Linked DNA regions of Xenopus tropicalis. The protein of the gene in region 1 binds, or shares a complex with, the protein of each later gene. Links are inferred from orthologs where the notes say so. Each region holds a gene or a part of one and is shown on either strand. Other genes may lie near its edges. The genes, in order: fnip1 and lamtor5.

Region 1 (4,546 bases):
TCCTCTCCCTGATTCTTCATGCTGCAGGGTTCTTGACGCTCCCTACACTCCCTGATTCTTCCTGCTGCAGGATTCTACCTGCTCCCTACACTCCCTGATTCTTCATGCTGCAGGGTTCTACCTGCTCCCTACACTCCCTGATTCTTCCTGCTGCAGGGTTCTACCTGCTTCCTCCTCTCCCTGATTCTTCCTGCTGCAGGATTCTACCTGCTCCCTACACTCCCTGATTCTTCATGCTGCAGGGTTTTACCTGCTCCCTACACTCCCTGATTCTTCCTGCTGCAGGGTTCTACCTGCTTCCTCCTCTCCCTGATTCTTCATGCTACAGGGTTCTTGACGCTCCCTACACTCCCTGATTCTTCCTGCTGCAGGATTCTACCTGCTCCCTACTCTCCCTGATTCTTCCTGCTGCAGGATTCTACCTGCTCCCTACACTCCCTGATTCTTCATGCTGCAGGGTTCTACCTGCTCCCTACACTCCCTGATTCTTCCTGCTGCAGGATTCTACCTGCTCCCTACACTCCCTGATTCTTCATGCTGCAGGGTTCTACCTGCTCCCTACACTCCCTGATTCTTCCTGCTGCAGGGTTCTACCTGCTTCCTCCTCTCCCTGATTCTTCATGCTACAGGGTTCTTGACGCTCCCTACACTCCCTGATTCTTCCTGCTGCAGGATTCTACCTGCTCCCTACTCTCCCTGATTCTTTATGCTACAGCATGCTACCTAATTCGTGTATGATGTAGCATTCTACATGCACCCCACAACCTGTTCTGTGCTAAGGTTCAGGGGTAAACTGACTTGTAACTTTTATTTTGAGCACTGTCAGCAGTTTTAAGTGTATAAAATGATATAATTAGAAACATCTAACTCTATTAAAAGATCATTAAAGGATTCAAGAGCACTTAAAGATTCCCTTATTATAGTATCCATTTTTACATTTTGAAGTTTAAAAAATGGTATAACCACACTCACTGACTACCTGTCATGGGGTTATGTTGGAGGATGTGACAGGCTAGAGGGATCAGGGAGTAGGTAGAATAGTACCAAATAGAGGGATCGGGGAGCAGAAAGGAGAAAGTATGAGGTACCTAGGAACTACTGTTTACACACAGGTAGCAAGCAAGCACAGGAGGCAGAGAGAGGTGGAGAGAGGAAGCAGGGCGGAGGGAGGTGGGCGAAGGGAGGAGGAAGCAGAACAGTGTAAGATACAGCCCGGAACAGTCGCTGACACTTTGTGGGATTACTCAGAACTTAACGGGGTGACAACATAATTAATTTTTAGTAACAGAATACAATTGAGACGCATTGTCATTTTGCACACATATGTCCTAAAATGGACACCGTACACATACAAACAAAACACAACGAGCCCAGGCCAATTGTCTGCGGCTGCGAGCCAGCCAATCACAGGACTGCTTACATTTCTCCCTCCGCCGTTTTCTCTCCAGGAAGTGGCTGGCAGGAACCTGGGAGGGGTGAGTGCCCTGAATTCCCGCCCCCTTAAGCACATCTGACAGCCGAGGGTGTCAAGCGGAGAAGCAGTCATATGACTTGGACACAGATGGGGAGCTAAGTGTGTAGTGAGGGAAACAGAAGAATGGCTCGCTGCTGGGGGAGATAGTGTAACTTTACCAAAAAAATGCCGCCCACTCTCTTCCAGAAGCTTTTTAGTAAGCGCAATGGGCAGGCGTTTCCCAACAGGGACCCGAGAGAAGACTATGTTTTCAGGTACCTTTTTACTACGAGTTTATATCTGTGTATTATTTCCCCTTGCTTGCTCACATCGCTGGGCTTTTTGTTTGCTGCTATCTGCTGAAGGCTTTGGGGCTTCCCTACCTCAGTGGCTTACCTAGAATGAGGATGCAGCCCATGTTTGCCATTAGTATTGCATTCTGTGTCTCTTTGAGCTGTTGCTTGTGCTCCATCTATACTGCAAGCAACACTGGCAAACCCCAAAGCACCATTGGGCCAAATACAGTTCTGAGCAACTTTTCAACATACATTAATAATGTTAACAGCTGTTGAAAGCATTATCTGTCTCATTAGTTTTTTATCTACTGCAAAACTATTGGTATTAAAATGGGAAACCTTTTGCAGCATTTTGTTTATTAAGAGGTAGCAAGATAATATGCCCTTGTTACAGGTATAGGACCCATTATCCAGAATGCTCAGGGTTTTTCGGATAAGGGGTCTTTCCGTAATTTAGATCTTCATACCTTAAGTCTACTAAAAAATCAATAAAACATTAATTAATCCCAATAGGATTGTTTTGCATCAGATAAGGATTAATTATATCTTAGTTGGGATACTGTTTTATTTTTAGAGAGAAAATTTTTAAAAAAATATGAATTATTTGATTAAAATGGAGTCTATGGGAGACAGACTTTCCGTAATTTGGAGCTTTCTGGATAACGGATCCCGTACCTGTGCTAGCAGTTATTTATAGGCTGTATTGTGAAGCCTTTATAATCATTCTGTCTCATCAAGTTATCTGTGGGTGTGAGACCACCATGGTGTAAAGACAGTGCTCTTGCAGCCTTGGAGTTTACTGCTGCATTGCCTTTGCTAACGGCCAAATCATTCCACTGAGTCTGCTGGAAAAATCCTTTGCCTTTGTGAGACAAAAGTATCAGTAACACTGAGTAGTCATGTGAAAGCTTGCAAGGGGTCATTTTGGACATGGAAAAGTGTCAGGTCTCCTTTCAGAGAGGCAGGCACATACTTTTCTCAAGGCTTATCTGTTCTTTTCATATATAAAGTAAAAACATAGGCTCTTTGCAACAGCCTGGCAATAAAACCATGAAGGTTGGCAAAAGGAAGCAAGAAATACAGGGCAAATAGAGTTAGAGAAGGACTTTGAATTCTTGATCAGACAAATTTACAATTCATTTTACTATATTATTTTGGTCACATTATGTGATCGAAACGTTGATATCTGCACATTAAAGATTCTTTTTGATTATTTTCAAATCCTGTGAGTGCGGAGTCCTTCGTTATCTACATGGTTATTTCCTCACCTGGCACCCAGTCAATTTACTGATTTTTTTTTGGTGAGTGCCCTCCCTGTATCATGTTATATATAAAACAAAAGCTTAAAAAAGCTCTTTTTACCACCATTGGAACATGTGAAGACTGTACAGCGCATGTGCCAGTTAGTGAGTGGGTACTTGGAGATCCAGTGCCTAGGGCAGCACTGGTGCTTTGTTTTAGGCCTTTGCCTCATGTCTTGTAGTTTTCTATTTGTAGCAGATAAAAATGTGTTTCATTGTTTTGTATGGGGTTTGCCACATAGACTACTAATTGTAGCACAGACACATGATAAACATAAAATCGGTTTTAAAGATGCTAAGGTTTAGGAACACAAGGTATATTTTCTTTCTTACAGGTATATAAGTAGGATACAGGTATAGAATCCATTATATGTAAACCTGTTATTCAGAAAGCTCAGAATTACGGGAAGACCATCTCACATATAGTCCATTTTAAGCAAATAATTGCTGCATTTCTGACCTATTTCTTTATGTATGGTGATCCAAGTTATGGAAACACTCCTCATCCAGAAAAGCCACTCTTTCTGGATAAAAGGTCCTATATCCATATTAACTCTAATTTCAGTTAACTTTTAGGTCTAGAATTATCAACTGTTTGCTGACAAAATACCTTTACATTCACACTCTTATAACCAATGGAAAAACAAATGTTGGGTCATTTTGCCATAGTTATTTTTGCCTACGATTCAGTTTAAAAAACCCAAAACTTTTATTTTGTGTAAATTTCAGGAAGACATAAAATCCAGGGAAAAAAAACCCCGCAGGTTGCCTATATGGGATAGAATGGCAATTAAAGAATGTAAAATCCAAGAATGTAAAGTCAACATTTTACTATATGTATTTTTCACTAAGGTATAGGACTTGAATTTGGTTTTTGTCCTGTAGAATAAAATGGTTTATGTCTAGCTGGAGAACACTTCCTGTAGAAAAAAAAATAAACGGCAAAATACTTTGAACAAAGAGCTAGATTTTAAGAATTAAATTTAGACTGTTATGACATGTTTCTTAAAGTCAGAGAAAGCATTAGAAATGTGGAAAGAAAATCAAAAAGCATAAAATGCTAAATTTTATGGGGAAAAATAAATGTTGCCCTTTTAAGAGAATGCAGGAAATAATTATTTTTTAAATATCTTTCCACCTTTTATGGCACATGGATTTCTTGTAGCTGGATAAATTAAAGTTTATCCAAGTTGCATGCAGTATGTAATGTGTTTGTACAGTGCACATAGGTGCTAAATACTTAAGCATTTGACATTAACCTTAATATCTGTCATCTAGATGGCAGATATTTCTGGCCTCATGTTAATGACTTCATTGTTCATCACATGAAGCCTGGCTGGCATCCAAGGGGTTACAGTGTGCATATAAAGGGGCTCTTACTGTATGTCATGTGCTGTATTTAAGGAGATGAGGGAATATCCTTCATGCCTAATTCAAGGTACTGTAGCTTCTAGCAACTATTACAACCTTTTTATGCCACACTTCATCTAATAATT
Region 2 (4,580 bases), on another chromosome or scaffold:
AACATTACATTCGTTTGTTTGAGAGCCTCAAAAAAAGCGAAGTAAAGTTGCTCTTAGTAAAATTTTAAGCAATAGCACCATCTGCTGGTTATATCTAGTACTTATGTAATTATATTTCATTTACCTGTGTAATTTCTGTAAAACAGAACATTTAAATTGTTTGTTGCCTTGCTCCTTTTCCACAAACAAATGTTTAAGGTGGCCATACTTAAAGATCCGCTCGCCTTTCGAGGTCCCTTCTCCCGATATCCCCATCAACAGGTGGCGATATCGGGGGAATTTAGGTTAATTCGGTCATTTGGCCCTGGGGAGCCAGTCGGTTGGGGGACCACATCAACGAGCCGATACGGTCGCCGATCCAACTGAATTTTTTAACCTGCCGATCTATATCTGGCAATTTTAGGCCAGCTATCAGTCGGGCAGGCAGTCGTTGCTGCCCCTACACGGGCCGATAAGCTGCCGAATCAGTCCAAGGGACCAATATCCGGCAGCTACAATCAGCCTGTGTATGGCCACCTTTAGTGTTCAAGAGAGAGATAAGCTTGTAGCAGCCTAGAGTATTGTAGTGTTTTACCCTATTACAGCGTGACTGCAATGTGAGCTTATGTAAAGAATGTAACTGTATCTGTGTTTTCCCATATGCTAGTATAGGATGGGTTTTCTCGTAAAATATTGAAAAATCTTGACACTAAGCCGTTTGGGCCCATACCCTTAACTGTGGGAGCATCCTGTTAGAATAAATGCATGCTACTCTATGCAAGGGCACCCTCTCCTGTTTTTTATTGAACAGTCTGGCAAAAACCACCATTTGTGCCGAGTGGCACAAGAATTGAAAGTGAATAGTGATCATTTTTATATGACCCGGACATAAGTCCAATAGCATAACTCTTAGTTTCTCATTCAAAAGACCACTTCTGTCAAGCTTCTGGTTGCACTCTGCACCCTAGGCCTAATAAACAATCCAGCATGAGGTGAGGAATAACATGCAAGTTAAGGATTGGGCAGGTAGTAGTAGGGGGAATTTACATCTGTCCTTGCCCCAGTAGAGCTTTCAGTTCTTACCACATTCACAAACTCTGTGGTTATGTTTATCAATAGCCACTTAACTTAACTAAGGTGAACAAACCCTTTAATATATATTTTAGAAATATTTTATTTCCTTTGATTGAAGCCCACCACATCCATTTGGGAGAAGAAACAACGTCATGTGCAGTAACAAATCTAGAGCTCCATGGAACTGGGTGTAAAATTCACTCTGGACATTAACCCACGTGACACCCAAAGTCAGTTAACCCTCTGTAAACACTAAATTGCAAAAGGAAGTCAAGAAACCAAAATGGACAAGAATCCTACTGTCAGGCCAGTAAAAACAGTAATCAAGAAACCTATTCTCAGAGTATGTTAGCTTTGTATGAAGCATTGTGCATTGTAGCGGAACCACCATTAAGCCAAAGCATATTAATAGTATTTTTCATTCATTGATTTTTCTTAATAGCGCCAGAGCTTCAAATACTGCAAACGAAAACTCCCATTAGCCCCACCTTCTGTCTAACAGTCAGCTGACCGGGAGGGTCACATGAGCAAACACCCGGAAGAGGAACTGCTTTAAGGTTTTTTTGACAGGAAGAAGAGACTCAGCTATGGAAGCGGCTCTGGAGCAGCATTTGGAAGATACGTGAGTGCTCTGTAAACACATACTAAGGAAAATAAAATTAATTGGTTTTTTTCAATTAGTAAAATCAGGACATTTAAAGCGAAAGAACAGAAATAATTCAAACAGACAGAAATGCACTTCAGAACTTGAATTTCGTAACGTGTCTTTAAGTTTGCTGGTAATAGTTCAGATTCTCTTATTTTTAATCATTCCTACATGCGTGATCTCACTCAGGAGAGGAAATCGTGGGGGGAGGAAGCGGTGAACACTGTCACTGTTCATTCGGAGACTGGGGCATCTGGGGGAGGGGGTATAAGCATAAGTGTGAGCTATTAGTTACACAAGGTAACGACCATGTTGTTGCTGTTAGGCGGGTAGGCAGTTGAAGAGGGGATGTAAATTCGGATGCACAGATTAATTGCAAGGAAGTTGTTGGAGGGGTTTACTCGAAAAGCAGAGGAGGCCTTGGAGTTTTTGTTAGGAGGAAGCAGTGCAATATCAGGCATGGAGGTTTGGGGAGTCATGAGTTAACTGCATGTAAATCCTTATTGGGGGTGAGAAGGCTCATGAAACTGTGTAGGTGAATTGGGTGGCAGAGGTGGCCATGCAGTTATGTGTAAGGAAATGGCACAAGTGGCTGGCAGGTAGGTTATGTGAGGAGGATGATGGAGTGGAGTTGTGTAGGTGGGCAAAGTGGCATAACTGAAAGGGATGGGGGCTGTGCATGTTTTGATGGAGTCAGGCATACTGGCTCTTGTGTGGAGCTGAAACGTCGGATTAATAAAAACCATGTAAGATATTGCTAAAAAACTTTTTTGGTGAATATTAACCAAAGTCCTGTGAGTGCTAACCTTTATTGCAATTGTGTGTATATATATATATATATATATATCTGTATTCATTGGTGCGTGCATAGGTGCTCATATATACATGCGTATGTGTGTATGAAAGTGCTTATATATGTGCACATATAGACACATATATAAGTAAATATTTAGGTGCACATGTGTATATATGTGCATCAATATGTGTGTAATTGTATGTGTATATGTGCAACAACACGTGTGTACATATAGGTCTGTAAATAAGTGTATATATAGATGTGTGTTTGTGTCCAAGCAGACACACAACCATGTGGCTTCCTTGTTTGACTCTACACCTGGAATTTTACTTAACAAATACATTCATGGTCTTGATCCTCTGCTAGTGAGTATTTTCTAGTGCATGATCTGTATAGAGGTGTTTAATAAACGGGTTGCACAGATCGATCTGCCCACAGTGCGATCACATATTATTGATTCCTTAACCAAGATTCAACTTTATTTAAACACTTGATTATATTTCTGACTATTTTACTCTAATATTCTGACTTTCACGGTACATCCCTGACATCTAGCTTCATAAAAAGTGTTACTCTTCTTAGACCTTGTGGTTATTCTCTTGTACTTTCTATTTTGTCCATTTAGTATTCTTTTTTTATTGCCTGTCTATATAATTTTTGTTATTATTTATTTTTGATATAATTTTGATCTCTGTCTGGTAACGTAGGATTACGTCATCTCCACTTTTTCCCACCACTGTGTGCTTTTTAGACACTGAGTTTGTTGTATTCACCACTTTGATAAAGGCTAGAGTGCTAGCCGAAATTTTAGTCTCCTATATAATAAAACAACAAGTCCTGCGAGTACTGACACTTCCTCCAGTATATTCAATAATTTTTGGACCTGAGTGAGTGAGTGCCGGCATCTATTTGGAAGTATATATATATTTCTGAGAAAAGTTGTGTTGTTTAATACTGACACAAGAAACATCAGAGACTGACTAATTGTCTAAACTTTGCAACATCATCTTTCTTTTCCCCTGACTATAAGGACAAAATGGCAGCTATGGCCACTCTATCACTTTTTAAATTTGTTTGGTTAATCTATAATAATCTATATCTATAATATCCTATGAACTAGTAGAGATGATATAGCTGAAATAGCTTTCAGATAGGTAACCAGTATTTGTTTGGTATCTTGACACAAGTGTTTTGCCGTTCCTTACTTTTTCAGAATGAAAAATCCATCAATTGTTGGAGTTCTGTGTACAGATTCACAGGGGCTAAGTCTGGGATGTGAGTACCCTTTTACATTGGTTTTGTGTATAATATTGAAAATTGATGTAAATTGCAAAAGTACTCTGAGGAACACTCTGAGTAAGGTTAACAAATTCATTTTTAGGCTTAATTCAAATAAACAGCTGTGGAAATCCTTCCCAGAAGAGTAGAGGCTATTATAGCAGCAAACGGAGGAACAGCTTTATATTAATTACGTTGCTCTGAGAATTACCTTTGACCATTTGGTGTAGCTGCTGAACTTCCAATATTTGTCTTATGTGAAGGCTCCCTCTCCCTTTTATGGAGATTGCTATCTGTTACTCTGCAGCCAAAGTAATCTGTGAAAGAGTCAGTAGAAACAAACAGACTCTTGCATGGGGGTACTGACCCCTTTGGTAAACCCTGTTAAGTAACACAATAGGTTTTTAATCCATTGGTCACCTGGGCTGAAGGCACCATGGCCTGCACACACACAACCATGCCCCTGATCCCCTCATCATGCTTCATTAGTCCAAAACCCTGCCTACTCCATGCAAGCCCCACCCTACTTGTGTTTTTAATTCTCTTGGGGCCCCTGACAGCAGCAGACAATATATGCCAAAAGCCAAGAACAGAAGCTTCTGTACCTGCGTTGCTGAGTCTTTGTGCTCCCACCACAAAATACTCGTGATCACAAGGTTCACTTTCCCTCTGAAATCAGCAGTGGCTTAGCACTTGCAAACCTGTCCTTGAGGCTGCCTTTTTTAAAAAAAAAAAAAAAAAAAAAACAAACTTTTTTTTGGAGGTGTAGGGTAGGTTTGGGTAGGCTAATGAAAATTCTCTCATGAC

The links.
Region 2: fnip1 (region 1) and lamtor5 share a complex: the UniProt entries of both Homo sapiens proteins name them as parts of the lysosomal folliculin complex. The link is inferred for Xenopus tropicalis from reciprocal best matches to the Homo sapiens genes FNIP1 and LAMTOR5.

What each region holds. Positions count from the first base shown.
Region 1 is NC_030679.2:36,017,878-36,022,423, reverse strand, and holds the start of fnip1 (folliculin-interacting protein 1), read left to right. Parts: upstream 1-1,458; 5' UTR 1,459-1,639; coding exon 1,640-1,728; intron 1,729-4,546. UniProt on the Homo sapiens protein: Binding partner of the GTPase-activating protein FLCN: involved in the cellular response to amino acid availability by regulating the non-canonical mTORC1 signaling cascade controlling the MiT/TFE factors TFEB and TFE3.
Region 2 is NC_030678.2:72,305,986-72,310,565, reverse strand, and holds the start of lamtor5 (ragulator complex protein LAMTOR5), read left to right. Parts: upstream 1-1,548; 5' UTR 1,549-1,640; coding exon 1,641-1,675; intron 1,676-2,027; exon of another isoform or gene 2,028-2,195; intron 2,196-2,225; exon of another isoform or gene 2,226-2,266; coding exon of another isoform or gene 2,267-2,298; intron 2,299-3,708; coding exon 3,709-3,770; intron 3,771-4,580. UniProt on the Homo sapiens protein: As part of the Ragulator complex it is involved in amino acid sensing and activation of mTORC1, a signaling complex promoting cell growth in response to growth factors, energy levels, and amino acids.